2 linked regions of the Notamacropus eugenii genome follow. The protein of the gene in region 2 interacts with the protein of the main gene of each other region in a biochemical or structural test. Links are inferred from orthologs where the notes say so. Each region holds a gene or a part of one and is shown on either strand. Other genes may lie near its edges.

Evidence for each region.
Region 1: of the proteins of CHEK2 (region 2) and CDC25A, one has a biochemical effect on the other in vitro, tested with the Homo sapiens proteins (5 studies listed by BioGRID, with this or other methods). The link is inferred for Notamacropus eugenii from reciprocal best matches to the Homo sapiens genes CHEK2 and CDC25A.

What each region holds. Positions count from the first base shown.
Region 1 is NC_092872.1:13,381,480-13,392,019, forward strand, and holds the start of CDC25A (M-phase inducer phosphatase 1), read right to left. Parts: upstream 4,656-10,540; 5' UTR 4,581-4,655; coding exon 4,423-4,580; intron 3,336-4,422; coding exon 3,259-3,335; intron 1,792-3,258; coding exon 1,749-1,791; intron 1,126-1,748; coding exon 1,089-1,125; intron 547-1,088; coding exon 445-546; intron 1-444. UniProt on the Homo sapiens protein: Tyrosine protein phosphatase which functions as a dosage-dependent inducer of mitotic progression. Directly dephosphorylates CDK1 and stimulates its kinase activity. Also dephosphorylates CDK2 in complex with cyclin-E, in vitro.
Region 2 is NC_092875.1:17,009,064-17,019,702, reverse strand, and holds the start of CHEK2 (serine/threonine-protein kinase Chk2), read right to left. Parts: upstream 4,483-10,639; 5' UTR 4,399-4,482; intron 2,633-4,398; 5' UTR 2,628-2,632; coding exon 2,372-2,627; intron 1-2,371. Other genes in the region: iron-sulfur cluster co-chaperone protein HscB, read left to right, coding at 4,827-5,050, 5,823-5,922, 6,570-6,659. UniProt on the Homo sapiens protein: Serine/threonine-protein kinase which is required for checkpoint-mediated cell cycle arrest, activation of DNA repair and apoptosis in response to the presence of DNA double-strand breaks.

The sequences.
Region 1 (10,540 bases), on a different chromosome or scaffold from region 2:
TCAGCTTGGCCATAAAGACTGATTGGTTAAAAGCTGCACTGGTAAAAGGCACTTCAGGGATTACCAGATATGAACATATGCTCAGAGGATCATGAGAACTACCTATCTAGAGTGTATTTGTTGGGGAATGTAAGAAGTAGGTTTAGAAAGGTAGTTTTGGGTCAGATGGTAGACGGTCTTGCTGTCAAGGGAATTTGAACTTTGTGAAGTAGCTCTGGACTTGGACTCTTACGAGATGACCATCGATATCTCTGAGTTCTAACTAGGTTCATTCACTTTGTTCTTTCTAGTTCTGTGGCGGGGATATTGTCTTGAAGTTTTGGTAGTTACCCTCAAGGCAATCTGTTATCATTTTGCTTTGGCCAAAAATTTAAGTCTCCCACAAGCCACTAATCTTCTTAGCTTTCACCTCTGACTTAATTAATACCTTAAAGTCATACTCACATTTTCCTTGTTTTCATCATGGTCACTTAGCTGAAAGATATCACAGTCAAATGAATCAAAATGGCTTCTCTTCAGGGCAGGGCTACACCCTAGGAGCTTCTGCTGTAAAGGTGATAAGAATAAACTGGACATCAGTTGGGTAATGGATGCTTCAGTCAAGTTTCCTTATTTAATTTAGCTATTCAAAGAAAAACATAGCTAACTAGAAATAATCTAAACAGTTATTTCATAATCTTTAGGCCACTATCAAGGGAAAAAAAACAGAGAAAATTAATTTCTTCTCTATGTTTTGATAAAAACATACTTGGTAATAACCGTCCCAGACTTCTCTACTTGGACAATTCAAGGTACTATAATTTCATTGGAAAAGAAAAGTCACCTCTGGTTTGAGCTAGAACACATGTAAATAGAAGTGAAAAAGGGCTAAGACTTAGGCGTCCACTTCTGTTGAAGATTTCTTGGATGAGAAGTTCTTCTTTTCCTTTCTCTATGGGAACATGAGATGGCTCTTTGCCAACTGCAAACATTTATTTGCAGTGAAATTTGTAACACGGTCACTTCTTTCCCTACAAAATTATCCTTGGTGAACACAACAAAATTTAAGCTCCAGATCAGTAATACTGAAAGAAAGAAAAAGAACTTACTGGCAGGGAGTTTATTCTCCTCATGGGTTTTTCAAGGCTACAATAAGAACAGAGAGCAAATGAAGTTAGTTAAGTAATTCAACATTGATTGGCAACCAATTCTTTCCTTTAAGGCAAACCCACTTACCTAAATGTCTGCAGAAAGAACATCATTTTCCCAAATTCACCCAACCCAAAATACTTTAAGCTTCTAGGGAAACCAAGTGGGTTCGAACAAAATATTCTCTTCAACACATTCCCATGAAGCTGGGGTTTAAAAACTTTTGTATGTTATAGACCACTTCTACAAACTGGCAAAGATTATGAACCCCCTTTCAAAAGGTTTTGAAATGCACAAAATAAAATAAATAGGATCTCAAAGAAATATTGAAATAGTTTAACAAGATATATTTTTTAAAATGGTAAAAATATTTTTAAAGTTCATGGATCCCAGGTTATGAATTCCTTCCTTAAAGGCAAGAATTATGCTACAGGACAGGAACATGAGAGATTTGAATACTTACACTTAAAACTAAAGTAAGCTAGTGTATGATAAAAAACAAGAGTGAGTGCAACAGCATTCACGTGGGACATCTTAGTCCAGATTCCTAGTCAATCAGGATTCTAATAATATTCTCATTTGGTATTTAAAAAAAAAAATTAAAAGAAGCAAATACATACTTTTCTTTTCTATCCAGGGGCCCAGGAGAATCCAGACAAAAACCTATTGGGGCACAAAAAAAGTCTTTACTACACGGCCATTGTGATCCAGAGGTTTTGTAAATTGTTTTTATAGCTTAATTTCTTTTATTATTAACTCTAAACATCTCATTTGAAATCATTTCAAACTTTTAAGAAGCCAGTGGGCTACCCCAGGAACTTCAGGGTGAACATGGTTTGTAATTACCTGAGACTCAGTATCTGTTTTTTGAGGCAATCAGCCTACAGTGACGGACTCCAGATTGGTTCAGGTTGTATGTGTGTATGGAGTGGGGTGTGTGGCGGCACTTTACATGGATTCTGACATAAAAGCTAGTGTTCATATAGGGCATGTTATCCCACAACCCTGGGAGGTAAGTGCTATTATTATCACCTCCATTTTACAAATAAGATACTGAGGCAGACAGAGGTTAAGTGACTTGTTCAAGGTCATCTGAGGTCAGACTTGAATTCAGGTCTTCCTGACCCCAGGTCCAGAGCTCTATTTACTTTACCAATCTAGCTGCCTTTGAAGGAGACATAATGCTTCCCTCTGCTCTGGAGTTACCATCAGTGAAATAAGACTTAAGGGAAAAGTAGGCTAGATGAATTGTTAAACCATCTTCTGAGTATTCAGGTAGGGATTATCTGGTTTATGGTTAATATCCATGTCATCTCCCTCTCAGATGGCAAGTACTTGATCAGCCCTGCTGCAAGTAGACTGCATCTGGTCAAAAGGCACCAATCTCTAATTCAGATCAATTTATCCATGGGTAACAGGAACAAATACAAATTAGAGCCACTGCGAAGAGATCTGGTAGGTTTCTGACTTATGTTTAAGAAAATGGCACCTAACAAGGAATTCTTGCTCCCCAAAGACAGAAGATCTTAGAGGTTTAATATAATTTATATACCAACCTCGGAGTAGCCTGGACTCACCAGCCCCCAGGCAACTTTTATTTTCTGGGCATTCAGTCACAATGGAATCTGCATACTACTTACCCTCAAACCATTTTTCACTTCCCTCTTCTCCTTCCAAGTGGTAAGAGATAACCATGCACACTGGAAATCTGAAGAGAATCAAACTTTCCTCCAGGTACTCTTCTACATACCCCCCCACTTCAACCAAATGAACCACTTACTATTCCCAGGACCTGTCTTGTCCTTTCCTACCTTCCTTTAACATTCAACAAGCCTCTGATTACACCATTCATTCCCTTTGTCTGGAGGGTCACTCTACTCCAATCTCCATTTATTCCTACTGAAAATTAACCTGTTTTCAGACACTGCAATAATTCATATTATACTATTTCTATGGCACTTATCACATACTGTCTTACCTTTCAATTACTTATGTACATGTGCCTCCTGTATTAAATTAGAAGCTTCATGAAAAAGAGGGGCTTGTTGTATCTCGTCTCCTTCCCAAGGCCTCCCCCAGCACAGTGGGCACATACAACAAATATCTGTTATGCGTAGAATGAAAGAATACCTGAATCTGTAGACTCTGAGGAGCTTGTCCGCTGCAGGCTGCCGCTCTTCTTTGTTTCCAGCTGATGCTCACATTCACTGCACACAAAACCAAACCATTCTTTACATGCAGTTTTGGAATCTGATAAGAACAACTCCTCTTCTCCACGGACTATGAGTCACCGTGAGACAGAGGGAAAACATCAAGCTATTTAACAGCTTTTTGGCCCTACCTGCTGTCCCACAAGGACCACCTCCCGCAACCACAACTCCTCTCCAGCACAGCACCTAAGGCCCGGTGGGATTCAAAGCTCTTAATGCCACCCAGGCCCCCGGCCCTCCACCTCCAGAAGGAGTACCTCCTTACTCTTGTGGGGTTGCATGCTTATTTGAGGGAAATTCAGAACAAGGTTACAATGGAAACTAGTATTCCAGAAACTGAAAGGAGTCCAAGGCAAGGAAGCAAGAGGGTGGTGTGGCTAAGGAGGGACAAGCCTTCTGTTCAGCCTCCTCCCAAGCATCTCTCAGACCTACTGGGGCGCTGCGGAACCACCCAGGCCCCTGGCAACATGGAGGCCAGGGGCCGAGCCTGGGCCACAGGCAAGGTGCTGTGGCTAACTTAGCCATGTGCCTAAAAGACGGAAACGGAAGGCTCCCCCTGGAGACCCTGCTCAAGGCCTGTAGAGAGAGGGGTGGGGAGGCTTTAGAGCATGGGAAAGCTGGGGGAGCCGAGAGCTGGCGGAGATGGAGGTATGAGGGAGGCGGTGAGAAGGAGCCGGAACGAGGAGGCGGTGGTGATGGGGAAGGCTGGAGGGGGCAGTGGAGTGAAGGAAAGGGGAGCAGGATGGGGGGTTGGAGAAGAATGGACGTTGTTGGGGGGACTGTGGAGTCTGAAGTATGGTGCACACTGCGGGGAGAAGGAAGAGGGAAGGAAGGTGGGGTAAAGGACAGGAGGCTGGAAATCAGCCCATTGTAGGGAGGGGTGGTTATGAGGAGCAGGAGGGCAGGTGCGACGGGGCAGAACGTATGTGCCGCATAGGTTCGGAGCCCGGACTGGGCGATGAGCCGGCCCAGCGAGACCCAGGAGGGGCAGTGACTTGGCCAAGGTCACTCCCCGGGGGCGCTGCCCAGGAATGACGGGGCCGGGGGGGCTCCGGGAGGGCCCAGGCCGCCCCGCCTCTCTCACCTGCCCAGGCCCCGCAGCTGGTCCATGGTGACCGCCAGGTTGGTGACCGGGGACAGCCCCCCGGGGCCGGCGGGGAACAGGGCCTTGACCACGGCGGGCGGAGAGCCGCAGGCGAAGTGGAGGCGGCGGCGGTGCGGGGGCTCCGGGCCCAGCTCCATCCGGAGCAGCGGCGGCGGCGCCGCCTCTCTTCTCTCCTCGCCCCGCGCCGCGCCGCCCCCACCGCCTCCCGGAGCGCGGGCCCGGCCCGCGGTCAAACACAAACACGGCCCGAGGGCAGGCCGCGAGCGATGCCCACGCCGGGGGTTCCGGGGCCGCGCCAAGCCGAGGGTTAAACCCAAACAAGCCGGGCGGGCGCAGGGCCGGCGGACCTCGGGCCGGGGGCGCGGGCCCGATCGGCCCAGACGCGGCGGCGGCGGCGGCGGCGGAGAGCGGGGAGCGGGACCGCGGCAGCCCCCGGCGGACCTCCTGCCCAGCTGCCCGGGGGTGTCGCAGGAGCCGCTCGCAGAGTACCGCTGCTGCCCCGCCCACCTTTCCTAGTTGGCGCCAAACCCAAGCCACCAATCAGAAAACGGGACCTCCGTTCCACCCCCTGAACGGCAGCCGAGCTTAACCAATAAAAATTCAAGGAGGGGAGACTGTCGGAGACCCGCTCCGTCACTAAGCCTCTCTAGAGGAGGCGGGGCCAAAGTCGAGAAGCGGAAGTAGGGGTGGGGGAAGGGCGAACAAGGAGAAGGAGAATGAGATCCAATGTGTGGAAGCGGCGGCTCCCAGCATGCCACGCAAGCTAGCCAAAGGAACCGCCCAGTCCGGCGGAACTGACGCTGCATTCTGGGAGTTGTAGTTCCTCGTGGCCGCTAGCTTGGATTTCTCTTTTTTCTCTCTACGCCTCCCTGGCAGCCTAGAAGTTTAATTTCCACATTGGCCCGAGGATGTTTTGCTCTTGGATGACCATAAGATGGCTGTAAAGATGAGGGGTGGGGGCATCTCTTGCTTTGGTCACTGGCTCTGCTGTCAGAAGCATGTGGGCCTTGGAGCCCACAGGGAGGAGCCTTCTCCCCTGCCCCCAGCAGCCTGGCAGCTGAAGAAGTACTCAGCCATGCTTTGGATAAAGACAAAGTTCTAACAAAGTGGGGGAGTCCCTGGAGACCCCCAGAAAACAAGCCCAAGGAATGCCTGAGCTGGAGGAGGCCTGGGCCCTTTGGCCAAGGGCAGGCAGAAAGCCACTTGTAGGACAAAAGCCAGCTCTGGGCCTGCGTTTCCACACTCTAGAGGTTTTGAATAAAATGTGGAGTCCAGAGGGACCTCATAATGTAGTGGAGTCAACCCCGGCTTTGGCTCTCAGCACCCAAGTCAGAATCTGGCTCTGCCACTTAACTGTCAGCGTTGAGTCAACAAACAGTTCTTTATCAAGGACCTCAGGCTGGGCGTTGGAGTCAGGAGGGCCTGGGTTCAGATCTGCACTTGGAAACTTAGTAGTCGTGTGACCCTGGGCAGTTATCCTCTGTTTGCCTTAGTCCACTAGAGGATAACATGGCAAACCACTCCAGTATCCTTGCCAGGAATGTGTGGCATTGTTGCGTTATGGTCCGCAGGCTCACTAAGAGTTGGGCATGACTAACAACGTGTGCCAGGCATTGTGTTAAGTGCCTGAGATACAAAGGAAGGTAAAAGACAATCTCTGCTTGAGCCCTCAAGCAGCTCAATTTAAAGGTAGAGACAATGTACAGCATATGCAAATAAGAAACGCTGGATAAGTTGTAGATGATACCAGAGGGAAAGTATTAGATCAAGGAGGGCTTCATGCAAATGGTGGGGTTTTAGGTGAAGCTTGAAGGAAGCCCGGAGGTGGAGACTAGGACAAAGAGAGTTCCAGACCTGGACACAATCAGTGAAAATGACTGAGTTTTATGAGAGGAACAGTAAGGAAGCCAGTGTCAATGGATCACAGAATATATGGAGAGGAGTATGATGAAAGAAAACTAGAAAAACAGGAAGAGGCCAGGTTATCAAGGGGTTTAAGAGCCAAACAGAAGATTTTATATTTGATCTTGGAGGTGATAGGGAAGCGCGGGAATTTATTAAATTGGATGTATATGTGTGTATGGAGGGAGGAGGGGTATGATCAGAATTGTTCTTCAGGAAGTTTTCTTTGGAAGTTGAATGGAGGATGAAAAGTGAGGCAGGGAGACCAACCAGCAGGGCACTGCAATAGTTCAGGCATGAGGTAATGAGGGTTTTCACCAGGGTGGTGCTAATGTGGGTTTTAGAGGTTCAGGGACCCCTCAAGGACTGAAGTACCCGAAAGGGTCATCTAGAATGAATTCATGGACTCAAGCATTCTTTAAGTCAAGTTGACAAAGGTTTATTGTAATGCCAATATGGTAGGCAGAGCTCCTTAAGGAACTAACTCCGCAACTTAACAGGAGTGAGCTAAAGCTTATTTAGGAAAAGTAGTGGATTATCTGGCAGAAAGTGATAACATACAACCTTGGTCACAGGAGTCATTCATTACTGGATACTAGAGGAAGGAGTTTCTAGGAGGTGTATTTTTGGTCTATTGTGTCTGTGGCAAGATAGCTTTGAGAGTTGATGTCTATAGCTTGATCTCTGGATTGTATATGATAACTGTGGGAATCAATACATGATAATTCTGTGGTTACAAGAGAGTCCTGTTTTTACAAGGGAATTTCTTCAGAGGTCAGCTTGTTCTTGTAATGGGGAAAGATAGTTTGTCTTACTGGGGCCCACCCATGAGTAATTGAGGGGAAAGGTAGTTTGTCTTAGGTGGGCCCACTCAAGAAAACTGTCAGGGATAGTGTTTTGAAACTAGGGAGAAATGTGATCTTGAATTTGGGGTCCAAGCACAAGCACCTCATCAGTGTCAGTGTCAGAGGACAGAAGGGGATATACAAGAGACCATAAAGGTAAAATCAGTAAAAATAGGAGTTGGCAACAGATTGAATATAGAATGAGAGAGAGAGGGAGAGAGGGAGAGAGGGAGAGAGGGAGAGAGGGAGAGAGGGAGAGAGGGAGGGAGAGAGAGAGAGAGAGAGAGAGAGAGAGAGAGAGAGAGAGAGAGAGAGAGAGGAGTAACAATAACACCTAGGTTGTTTGTGAGCTGGAGTGATTGGGAAGATGGTAGTAGCAGTAAACTTTAAAGTAATAGGGTAGTAACAGTAATTTATAGAAATAGGAAAGTTAGGAAAAGGGGAAGGTTTTAGAAAAAAGGCAACAAGTTCATTTTTAGACATGTTGAGTTTAAGTTATCTACAGGACATCTAGATGTCCAACAGGCAGAGAAATCATTTCTCTGATGGCATGGTCTCCGACAATGAAGGACAAACACACTGTAGAAATGAGAGACTAGAAGTCAGGACAGCGCTTAGGGCTGCATAAGTAAATCTAAGAATCATCTGCATAGAGACAATTGAATCTATGGGAGCTGATGAGATCTTTAAGAGAAATAGTGTAGAGAGAAGAGGACTCAGTTTAGAGCCTTGGGAGATATCTAGCTATTGGGCAAAACAAAAAAAATAATAAAAATTCATTAAAAAAAAATAAAACCTGATAGGAGGAGAAGGGAGGGAGGGGAAAAATCTAAGATATATGGAAGTGATTGTAGAACACTGAAAACAAATAAAATAATAAAAAAATAAAAAATAAAACCTTCGTTTTACATGATGAGTTTAGGGTGTTTAAGGAATATCTAGTTCAAGATGTGATCAGATAATTACAAAGGTTTTTCTAGCTCTTAATCCTATGATCCTATTAATTTAAGATCAGAGGGATAGTAAAGTAAAAGTAAAGATAAAAGTAAACTTTTATCTAGCTTCTACTATGGAAATGGTGTTGCCTTAAAGTCATCTAGTCTAGTAGTTCCTATTTCCCATTTAGTGGTTTGTGATGATGGTCCCAGGTGTAAAACAAAATCTTTAATATCACCTTAAGCAGTTAGTAATTGCCCAGTTGTGTTGCAAATATATTTTTTCCTTTGTGATAACATATATGTGCATGTTTGAAACATTATGGGTTTGTTTTTATAGCAATTAGAAACTATCATGTCAAATCCCAAAGACTCAACTAAAGAAGTAATTGAAACAATGAACAATTTTGGCAAAGTAACAAGTTCTAAAGTAAATCCATGTAAATCATCAGCATTCCTATATGTCACAAATGAAATTCTGTAAGATGAGATAGTAAAAGATATCCCATTTAAAATAGCTCTAGAGTCTAGAGTCTAGACAGCATAAAATACCTGTGAGTACACTTGCTGAAACAAACCCAGGAATCATATAAACCAAATTATAAAAAAACTTTTTATATAAATAAAATCAGCTTTAAATAATTGGAGAAATATTAATTGTTCATGGGTAGGCAGGGCCAATATTATAAAAAAGATAAAAATTTTACTCAAAGTAATGTACATATTCAATGCCATCCCAATTAAAGTACCATAAATTTTTTTTACTGAATTAGAAAAAATCATAACAAAATTCGTTTGGAAAAACAAAAAGTCAAGAATATCAAAGGAAATAATGAAAAAATGTTAAGGAAGGAAGATCTCAAACTATATTATAAGGCAGTCACTATCAAAATTATGTGGTACTGGCTAAGAAATAGAAAGGTAGATCAATGGAATAGAGCAGACATACAATTTACAGGGAGAAATCAACCCAATAACTTTATATTTGACCAATGCAAAGACCTAAGATTTTGGGATAAGAATTCATTATTTGGTAAACATTTTTGGGAAAATTGGAAAGCAGTATGGTAGAAACTGGGCATAGAGTTAAGGTTTTAAATTTGATTTTATGATTTCTATTTAATCAGGAACTAGAACATGTATAGAAAGGCGTGTAAGCCACTTAAGACTTGCCTCAAAAGATGTTCCTTAGCCAAAGTGGAATTATAATCATGTTTGAAACCTGGTTATTGGAACTTGCCATTTTTAGATGCTATGGGACTATTTAGCGACTGTTCTTCTTAGTCTGACTGCAGATATGGATAGCAAGAAAGGCGGTCTGAGCCTCCAATCCATGATGCCAGTAAGCTGGTGAGATGCTGGTATGAACTGCATAGGTGATCTCAAGGGAAGGGTGGGAGAGCGGCTGTTCAGCCTGGGCTGAGGTAGGATTCTCCTGACTCAGTTTCTCCACTGACACCTGGTAGACTTGAAGCCTGACTGAATGCAAGTGGACAATCTACTCCTGCCTGAAATTGACATGAAGTTGGGGAGATATTATATCCCTGCAATGCCCCTACTCTTGATGGCAATTTCCTATAGTCAAAAGGTTTGTAAGCTTAATACCAGATCTATTCAATTATAGATTATTGGTAGGGGAACATCCGAGGTTAAGTCTAAAATTAAGCTATTAGACTTAGGACTTTAGACCAACAACAATAAATTAGGGTCCTTTAATTCTTACTAATACTCTGGAGACAATTAGGTCAAGAGAGTGTGAAGTTAGCAACATAAAATATTATTTGTGTCTCAGTTGGTTAATGTCTAAAAAATTCTTTTGTGGTCCATATTGTAAATGCTTTAAAAAGAAGTATCACCTGACCAAAAGCTTGAATTGTTTTATCTGTTATAAACTGTGTTAAAAATGAAAAATAAATTGTTTTTTTTATTTTAGTCTTTTTTAAAATTATTTTTTAATGTTTAACAATCACTGCCATACAATTGAGATTTTATCCCCCCCACACCTACCCCCCACTACCCCCCTCCCTCCCCACGACTGCATACAATTCTGTATAGGTTCTACATATGCTTTCCTATTGAGTACATTTTCACTATAGTCATGCTATGTAGTCAGACTAAAATAAATGAAAGAAATCCTATAACAAATCAAAACATGATACACAAACACATACACATACACAAACATGATCTGCTACATTTTGTGAATGACTTCCATATTTCTTTCTCTGAGTGTGGAAGGCATTTTGCCTTGAGAACCACCTTTGGGATTTTTTTTTTTTTATAAGAAGTTTTTGCGTTATTACAAAATTCCAAGTCTACCAGAAAAAACTCTCGCACACTGTGGTCGTTGCTGTGCACAAAGTTCTCCTGGTTCTGCTCCTTTCACTGAAAAATAAAATGAAAAAAAAAAACTGG
Region 2 (10,639 bases):
GCAGGGGACGACAAGAGGACTTGATGCAAGCTTATTACTTGTCCAAAATGTCCATTTTTTACATGAGAAAACTACTCTCCAGGGCAGGTATCTCCCTCGTGATAATACAAGGTATTATGGTCTGGTGGAGAAAGAAGCAAACCTGCAGTCAAAAAGAGCTGAGTTCAAGTGCCACCACTACCATTTATGAGCTAGGAGACCATGGGCCCCTCCTGGGGAGGGGCAAAATCCTGTGTTCAATGCACTGACATAAGCCAAGGTGTGTGGATGGTGGTAAACGGCCCCATGGACAGCAGCTGGAGGAATGAAAGTTTGCCAACCTTGCCCAGGGTCCTGTCTGTGAGGGCGGCCTCACCTGGGCTTCCCCCAATCTCTGGCTTCTTGGGCCCTTGTCTTCAAGAACACGGAAGTGTAGAAAGAAGCCTTGGCTCAGTCCCAACGCCCCCTCAGCTCTTTCCTACATCTCCCCTTATCAGTTCTATCATCATGTACCTAAGCAATGGGTATATCAACACTCATGTAGTGCCTGTTGTATACCAGGTACTGTGCTAAGTGCTTTACAATTATTATCTCCTTCGATCTTTACAACAACCCTGGAAGGGAAGCGCTGTAACTATACCCATTTTACCAATGAGGAAACTGAGGCAGACAGAGGTTATTAAATGATCGCCCAGGATCACACAGCTACTACATGTGTGAGGCTGACTTGGAACCCAGGTCTTCTGCCTCCAGGCCCAGTGCTCTATCTCCTGCACCACCTTGCTTAAACAAGCACAACCTCCTGGACCCCTTCACCCTTTCCTTGGCTCTGACAACTCAGATCTCTGAGCAGCAATGACCCTTCCATCTTATCACCCACCCTTCCTTTAAGAAGTTCTCTTCTCCCTGGATCCCAAGACAAAGAACCTCTACACACAAACCTCCAGTCCTCTTTGATGTCTACACCTTCTCTTCCAACTTCCTAAGCATAATTGTTTCCCCCAAGGCCCAGTCTTCCCACCTCTACTCTACCCTCCCCCACACATTGTCTCCCTCTTCTTTCCCCCTCCCCCATACCTATTCCATTTTTAATGGGCCTCTTACTTCAAGTTAATGTCCCAAAGTCCATTGGTACCAGGAAAGGCCAGACTGAGGTAGCCTGGGTCCTATCCAAGCTTTTCATTTCCCTTTTCTAAACCTTGGCTTTTTCAAATGTAAAATGTCTGCCAGTTTTAGAGGGCATAGTGGGAAAAGCCCTATTCAAGAGCAGCCACCAGTGTGGGTTACTGTTATTGGGAGGCAGGCAGACAAAGGGGAAGGAATGAGGAACTTAAGTGTAAACCTCAGGGCAGATGGCCTGGCTAGGTAGGGGCCAATCCCCTCATCTATCTCAGGCTCAGGCCACAGAGACTGAGCCCTGCAACCCTAGGTGGGCTGGGATCTGCCACGGGACAATGGTTACTGATGAAAACACTGACTCTCTCTAGGTCAAAAACAGAAACCATCGTTTAACCACCACATAGCCCAACTGGAAGGAAATGCTTTATTAAACACCTACTATGTGCCAGGTACTTTGCATATATGATCTCATTTGATCCTCACCACAGCCCTGGGAGGGAGGTGCTGTTGTGACCCCCATTTCACAGTTGAGGAAACGAAGGCAAATAGAGGTGAAGTGACTTGCCCAGAGTCACCCGTCTAGTCAGGTCTGAGGTCTTCCTGGTTCCAGGCTCAGCACTGTACCTGCTGCACCACCTAGCTGCTCTTACAACAAAAAGGCAATGATGACCGCCATTTTCTCAAACATCTATGCTCAAAGTTGATCAAACTCATCTTTCATCTGTCCTTCTCCTTTCCCTCCTACTTCCCCAGGCAGACAGACACTCCCTAGCAAGGGCTGTGTAGGTATCCTTCCTTTTCATCTAAGCCCTCATCCCTTGATCTCCTTGAGCTGGATGACTCAACCACTACCAGCTAAAAGCTGGCCTCCCTAACTTCAGTCTCTCCCCACTCTAATTTACCTGGTTCTGTTCAACACGGTTCTCAACATATCACTCTCCTGATCAAAACCTTTCAATGGTTCCCTATTACCTAAAGGACAAAGTAACACATCCACCCTTTAAGTTACCACATGGACATGCTGACCATCATTTACAGCAGCTATCTCTGGAATAAGAATCACAGCTGTCAGGCTAATGGTCCTCCCACACCAGGGAAACTTACAATGACACTACAGATTCTGTCCAATAGGCTCACAGTCTTATCCCCAAATCCCTCCCAAAGTAGTAGGAACCTAGCACAAAGTTTTGGAGAACATATTTAAAAAAAAAATTCTCTACTAAATAAAAATTCTGCTCTGCCCCAGTCACACTTTTTAGTCTTATGGTCTTACCAAGGTTAGAGAATCCATCCTCGAGAGCCCAGAGCCGACCCCAGGGCTGAGGGTTGAGTTCTTCTGGTTCCTGATCCTCAGGAATGGAAGGAAGGTCCTGAGTAGGTACAGTGTCTAAGGAACTGATGGTCCCTGAGCTGGAATGGGAGGACTGACTGTGGGAGGTACCAGAGGAGGAGGAGCCGGAAGCATTCTGGGACTGGGACTGGGAGGCGCTATGTGACTGCTGTGAGTCACCTCCTGTCTCGCGGGACATCTTTGCTTCAAAAGAAAGGGAAAAGCAGCAAATATGAGTCTGGGTGCCCCAGACTTGGATAGTTATTGCGGTGGGAGAGGTGCAACTGTCAAAGTCTAGCATCCAAATACAGACAAAAAAAGAAACTATTCAAGCAAAACAAAAACTGTAAAATTAAATTTCTTAGGACTTGGAATTGGGATTAGTCATGTAAACTTAGCACTAGTACCATAAGAACAGTAATAACAAATCATAATAGAGATCGCTAGCATTTCTACCATGCTTTAAGATTTGCAAAGCACTTTATAGAGAGTAACTCATTTTATCCTCAAAACAACTGTGGACAGTGGTAGATATGATTATCCCCATTTCACGGATGAGGAAACTAAGCCAGACTAAAGTAAGGTGATTTGCCCAGGGCCAAATACCTGAGGCTGGATTTGAACTCAGGTCTTCCTGCCTCCAGACCTGGTTCTCCATTCACTAAGCCTCTACAGCCTAGCCAAACTGGCTGATTTATCCTTCAGATTTATCTTCAGATTCCATTTCCTACTGCTGGGCTTTGACCCAAGCTACCTTCCATCCCTGGAATGCTCTCCTCACTGCCATGTGCTCCATAAACTCCCCAGCTCCCTTCCCAGGGGAAGCTCTGCTGGGTCTTTCATTCCCTAACACCCCATCCCCCCCCTACCCTCCACACCTTACTTTGCCTCTACTTTGTATTTCATGGTACCTGGACATCTCCCAAGCAGGAGAAGCTCCTTGGGGCGGATCCAGCAGCGCCCAGCCCTTACTACATGCTAAGTCCCTTTTACACTGATTTTCTGACCGCAGGGCCCTGGAACCCTTTAATGATGAAGCCAATACAAGCACTTCTTTCAAGCTCTCCAAGCCTTCGAGAACATAGAAAGACTCAGCTGCAAGGGGTCTGCAGAGCCCATTTAGCAAAAAAGACTTTTTCAATCTTAAAGCACCAGAAAAATGCAAATTATTTTTAAGAGGCCCTACTCCCCCCACCTGGTCGGGCACAAGGCCTAGCCCCAAAGTCATCTTCCAGGGCAGCTTCTCAAACACTTCAGCTCCATCTGTTTGCATCCCTCTAGACCAGTCTGGCCAAGGACAGACAGATGGCTGAACTTGGGTCCTCCCTGACCGCCGGGTCTCTCCCGATGTCCCCGAGGGCTCAAGCTCTCTCTCTCCCTCTCTCTCCCTCTCCCTCCCTCCTCTCTCTCTCTCTCCCTCCCATCCCTCCCTTCTCTCTCCCTCTCTCTCCCTCCCTCCCTTTTCTCTCTCTCTTTCTCTCTCTCTCCCTCCCTCCTCTCTCTCTCCCTCCCTCCCTTTTCTTTCTCTCTCTCCCTCCTTCCCTTTTTTTCTCTCTCTCTCTCCCTCCCTCCCTTTTCTCTCTCTCTCTCTCCCTCTCTCTCTCTCTCCCTCCCTCTCCCTCTCTCTCTCCCTCTCTCTCTCTCTCCCTCCCTCTCCCTCTCCCTCTCCCTCTCTCTCCCTCCCTCCCTCCTCTTTCTCGGTCTCCCCCCCCATGCCCCCCGGGCCCCCGCGCCCTGCCCCCTGCCTCGCTCCACAGGCGCTCGGGCACGGCCCAGGGCGAGGACCGCCCTTCGGCTTGGCCCTCCGGGAAGTGGCAGCGCAGCCGGAGGATGCAGGCTGAGCACCCGCATGCGGGCAGGAGAGGACGGAGCCAATGGCCGGCCAGCCCGGGTCAGCGGGAGACGGTCAGATTGAGGCCTGGCTCTGATGTGGGAGGCGGCGGGGGCACCGTGGCCACGAGTCGGCTCACCGGGAGAAGGAAGGCCGGTCCCAGGGCACCAGCCGCAGGATCCTGACTCAGCCCGCTCCCTGCTCTGCCAGACCTGCACTGAGCTCCCGAGCCCGAGGCATAGGCTCGCGCGAAAGGCACAGGTACAAACCCCACCAATCAGCGATCCGAAAGAGACACAGAGCTTCTCTTCGACCAATTAGAAGCCCGCCGGATACGGAAAGGTCATGCCGCAAGACCTGCTGGGCCTTGTAGTCTGAGAAGACCTCACCGCACGAGACCTCAGGACTCTAGGCCCTCCCGCCCCGCCCACCTCCGCCCGAAACTCCGCCTCCGAGTTCCAGCAACCAATCAATTGGCTGCATTTGAGCCAGAACGCAGCCCACCCCCACCGCCCAGAGCCGGCTGTGGGGTGACCTAGGCAAGGGGCCGGTGTCGTCGTGAGTCAGATGTGGCGGGGCGCAGCCCGGGCCCTATGCAGGGTATGGGGGGCCCCGGGGAGGCCCTGCAGCAGCGGCCGCGGCAACGCAGCCTCAGCGCCCACGGGCGCCCCCTGCTGCTGGAACTGCGGCGGCCAGGGGGCGCACGCAGGCGGAGATCCGCAATTCTGTCCCGCCTGCCAAGCGCTGCAACCGCCCAGCCCCGACCCAGACTTCTTCCGCCTCATGGACTGGTGAGGGCTTCCCTGTGGAGGAGGGGACTGGGAACAAAAGGGCTGGCGGGGGGGCGGGGTCTGGAGGCACTGAGGCCTCTAGGGGGCGGGACATGGAGCTCGTGGGACCCAACAGGAGGGCAGGCAGGGGGCGGGGCCTGGAGGCACCCTAGCCTCCAAGGGGCAAGACATAGAGCCAGTGGGGCCTAAAAGAGGGGGAGGGGGGCAGGGGGCGGGGCCTGGAGGCGCCACAGCCTCCAAGGGGCGGGACATAGAGCCAGTGGGGCCTAAAACGGGGGAGGAGGCCGGGGGGGGGGAGGGGGGGGGGGTAGGGGGCGGGGCCTGACGCAGGGGGCGGGGCCTGGAGCTTGATGGATTGGGGGCGGGGCCTTGTGGTAGCCCCTCTGTGTGCTGAGCTGCAAGCTTATGCTAGAACCCCACGCAAGGGAAGCAGGTGCAGGAATGACACGGAATGACCCCAAAGGAGGCCTGGAGAGGCCAGGTCAGAACCTCTCCCCTCCCGCAAACCTAACCTAGTAATTGTCCAAAGTGATGGGGCAGGGTGGAGACTGGGACTGGAACCCAGGTCCTCTGACCTGATCTCACAGGTTCCCTACTTAAGCCAATCTTTGTGTTTCATTTCAATTAAACCAGCATTTATTTAGTGCCAACTATATGCAAGGCACCCCAAAGGGCTAATGATGGCATACAGACATAGCTGGTAACTGGTTTCCTGAGAGGTTGCTCTCTGGGCTCTCTATTCAGTCCTGCCCTCTCCCACCTTCCTCTCCAGTGGCCATTCCTTCACAGTGGATGTCCAGAATCTGAAGCGTCGATACCAGCACCTCCAGCGCCTGGTCCACCCTGATAACTTCAGCCAGAAGTCACAGGTAGTGGTGCAGGGCTTCCAGCACTCACCTTGGGGGTTTCACATGTTCACAGCAGTTAGAGCTGGAAGAGACGTCCAGAGACAGGAAGTAATGGGCTTCCAGCTAATCAATAGGTGAGCAGGGGTTGAGACGGTGACCTCTGGCCTCACAGCGGTCATAGGCTCCAGGACCCCAATGGCCCCTGGCTGAAATCTCACCCCTCAGCAAACTTTCTCTTGCACTTTGAAGGTGACATCGAAAGGCTTCCCCCAGACTTGGGCTTTGAACAGTGAGGTCAGCTCAGCTCTGATCACCTGTGCTCTTGCCTGCTCTCTCTGAGCACTGCTACACAATAATTAAGGGGATGGACAGCGTGAAAATCAGTGTGCAGAGACACCCTCCTCCATTGTGTATGGATACTTTATTTCTGACTATAGCCACTTATATAAGATGACAGTAGGCAGCCCCAAGATTGAGCTTGGGAATGGGATAGCACAGATCCCCAGAGGTCATTTCTAGTACATCTTTTGTTTTGCAGGAAGTGAGCTCCTTAAGACCAGGGATCATACCACACACATAGTGGCCCCTTGATAAATGTTTATTGGATTTTTGACGGCATTAGTGCTCCTTGGGGGCCCATAACAACAGCTTCTTTCCTCTCCTGCTGACAGACTGAGAGGGACTTCTCAGAACAGCATTCCACGATGGTGAACGAAGCCTACAAGACCCTGCTGACCCCACTGAGCCGAGGCTTATATCTGGTAAGCTGCTTTCTAACCTAGCCAAATGCTCACAACAACCTGTGAGCAAAGTCCAACGAGTGTTTATGGAGATGGGAAGGTTAACGGTAAGTTAACTGAGTCAGGTCCCAGATGCTGGGAAGCATTGAAGACAGGATCCAAGCCAGGTCTTCCTGATGCCAAGTCTGGCCCTCGTTGCCCTGTGCACCTCCCCCTCCAACCCCCTCCATGGTTGATATGATTGGTTTTCCTGCTCTGTGGCTTCCTGGATCTCCCTGACTTTGCCAGGCAGCAGAACTGGCTGGCTGTCTGTTCCTCCATTCACACAACAGCATCAGAAGATAGCTGTTTGGCCCCATGAGGAAAGTTCAGAGATGCACCAGGACACAGAGCCAGAAGACCCTTGGGGGCTGTCCAGCACAGCAACTGATGTCTGGCCAAGACTGGATGAGGGGGCGGGGTGTAGCCTGTGTGGGAAGGCCCCCACAGAAGGGGCAGCCATAGCCCAGGTACAACAGGCACTTCCCTGGAGCAGTTCTCATTGGGTGGGAGGCTTTCCCCACAATTAGCATAAAGGCCTCTGGTGACTTGTGCCTTTGGGCCCCGCATCTGCCAGCTTCCACTGAAGAGCCTTCAAGTTCTTGGAGACAAATCTTCCATTACCCCACTCTTCTCCCAGGCATGTTAACTGTCTCCAGTATCTTCAGACTGTTGCTTCATGGCATACGCTCAAGAGCCTTCAACATCCTCCGTGCCCTCTTTGTATGCTCTCCAGCTTGTCAGGCTCCTTCCAAAAACATCACACCAGAACTGTCTCCTAGGGAGACACCACAGTGCACAGAGCACCAGGCCTGGAGTCAGGGAAACCTGAATTCAAATCCAGCCGTAGACATTTATGAGCTGTGCCACTATGGACAAATCACTTCACCTCTGTCTGCCTCAGTTTCCTCATCTTTCAAATGGGGGTAATAACAGCCCTTGCCTCTTACAAACCTTAGAGCACTGTCTTATGATGATGATTATAGTGGCCTGGGGTGGGCAGAGCATAAGGAGACTCTCACCTCTTTCTTTACCCCTCCATGGATGCCTGTCTTCATCCAGTTTAAGATTGCAAGAGTTTTCTTAACTGCTGCATCTCACTGGCAACCCATGATGTTTGCCTTCCGCTGAAATGCAAGGAGAGGATCTTGGGAAGATGGCAGAGTAGGTCTGAAAATTCCAAGCTCTCCAGATTTCCTCCACAAACAAAACAAAACAGTACCTCAGGGTGAACATAAGAGTGGCAAAAATAAACAGGAGATTGGGGCAGATCAGTGGTCTTCCTGGGACAACTAGAGAAGATCCAAAGAAAGACTGCAGGACTGAGGTTGGGAGGTTCTACCTGAGTGAAGTGTAAACACCTCTAGAATGTCTCTGCTGAAACAACAATCCACAAAGCCTTGGTGACAGCTGGGTTGAGAGGTGGCCCCAGCCTCAGTCACAGGCATTCTCACCTCACAGATAGCAGGGCGGGGGAGGAGAGGGGTCAGACATCCTAGTAAGGAAAGATTGAAGGAACTTCTGCTGCTAAGGGACTCCAGGCCCAATTATGCTACCAAGACATGGTCCTGGGTGGGAAGAAACCAGCAGCGACCTGTTAATGCAGAAGCAGTGAGGTAGGATGCTGCTGTTTGTGAGCACTTACAGGAAAGCCAAGTTCTTGGTTGTGATTCTAGGCCAGAGGGGAGAACTGGAGGTTATATAGCCACTGGAGGGTCCACAAAGAGCAAGTGCATTTCCAGCATAGTGTGCATAGGGGTGCCTGGCTGTGGTTTGGAGCAGGAAAGGAGTGCAGACTTTGGGCACAGGACAAATTTCAAAAAACAATAGTAAGAGGGACCAGAGACACCATCCCCCACACCCCAGGACTAGAGGTGATTATAATAACAAGCTGTTAAAAATAAAACAAAACAAAAATGAGGAAGCAAAGGAGAAAGAACCCAACTATAGACAGTTACAATGGGAAGAGAGAGGACCAGGCTTCATCTTCAGAGGAGGATACCAAAGCAAAAAAGCCTCTCCTACCTCACAGAGTAACATCAAATGGTCACCTGCCCAAAAAGAATTCTTAGGATTCAAAAAAGACTTTAAAAATCGAATCTGAGAAATTACAGAAATTGTTTTTAAAAAGAATAAGAACAATCCAAGAATTCCAGGAAGATTATGAAAAGAAAGTCAGCCAAGGAAAAAGAGATCCAGAATCTGAAGGAAGAAATCAACTCCTTGAAGACTGGAATTGGGCAAGGGGAAGCCAACAGTGTTATAAGAGACCAAGAAATAATAAAGCAAAATAAAAAGAATGAAAAATAGAAGAGGATGTGAAACATCTCATAAAAAAAACAGCTGATCTGGAGAGCAGATCAAGAAGAGAAAAAATAAAAATAATCACACTACCTGAAAGCTAAGATCAAAAAAAAGAATCCTGATGCAATAATACAAGAAATAATCAAATAAAATTGCCCTAAAGTCTTAGAACAAGAAAGTAGAAATAGAAAAAAAAAATCCACTTTTTACCACCTGGAAGAGATCCCAGGATGAAAACCTACAGGAATATCATAGCCAAATTCCAAAATCCCCAGGTTAAGGAGAAAATATTACAAGTAACAAGAAAAACAAAATTCTAATTGTGTGGAGCCACAATTAGAATTAGTGGCTAAATTAAAAGATCACAGTTCTTGAAACACTATATATCAAAAAAGAAAAGAATTGGGGTTACAGCCAAAAATATCACACCCAACAAAGCTAAGTGTAATCCTGAACAAAAAGAAAATGGCTATTCAATGAATTGGCAGACTTTCAGGATTTTGTCTCAAAAAGACCATAACTTATTAGAAAATTTAACATACAAGATCCAGGAAAAATATAAGGTAAACATCAGAGACCAATTATAAGGTACATAATAAGGACAAATTGTTTTCTTTTTATATGTGGAAATATAAACTGTATGCATAAGATTGCCATTAATAATTGGGTAGTTTGAAAGAAAGATTGAGGTAGAGTTGAGTATGATGTGATTCCAAAAAGCCAAATATGGGGAAACATTAAAAGAGTAATTATCTTATACAAATGAAAGGCGAGAGAAGCACTGATACAGAGGAATCAGATGGGGGAGTGGGGCTGGTAGTGCTGGAGCCCTACCCACATCAGATCTGGGTTAAAGAGAGGACAACATAAACATTTAGAAGAATATGCGTCTTCTAAATTTATGAAGAAATAAGAGGGTGAAGGAACAGGATAAGGTCAGTTATAGAAGGGTGTGTAGATTAACAGGAATGAGGTAAAGAGGGAAATGTATGTGTATACACACATATAGCATGTGTATCTATGTATGTATGTATGTTTAAAAGTCTTCTAAATTCAGAAAGAAACAAGAGGGCCAAGGGATAGGTCGGGGGAGGAGGGAGAAGACAAGGAGGGGATTCATGGGGGGTTAGGTTAAAGAATAGGAGGGAAGGGTAGCAGGTAGAAATAAAGTAGAGGAGTGAAGAGGGTCACAGGAAGAGGGTGGAAAGGATAGTGAGGAAAAACAGGAAGAAGGAAAATATACAAGTAATTATAGCTTAGAATGTGAATGGGATGAATTTACCCATAAAATGGAAACTGATAGCAGATTAAAAATTTGAATTCAACAACATATTGCTTTCAGGAAATGCTATTAAAATGATACACACAAACATAAAATAGAGATCAGGAGTAGAATTTATTATGTAAAAAAACAGGTAGTAATCATGATCTTGGACAAAGTTGAAGCTAAAATAAATTTAATCAAAAGAGAAAAATGAGACTACAATTTAATTCCGTATTGTTTTGTACTATTTAAAATAACTAGACAGTAACTTTAGTGTATACCTGCCAAAACAGACACAGGAACTATATGAATATATATTCAAAACACCTTTTATACAAATAAAATTAGATCTAAATAATTGAGGTAATAATTATTGTTTATGTATAGGCAAAGC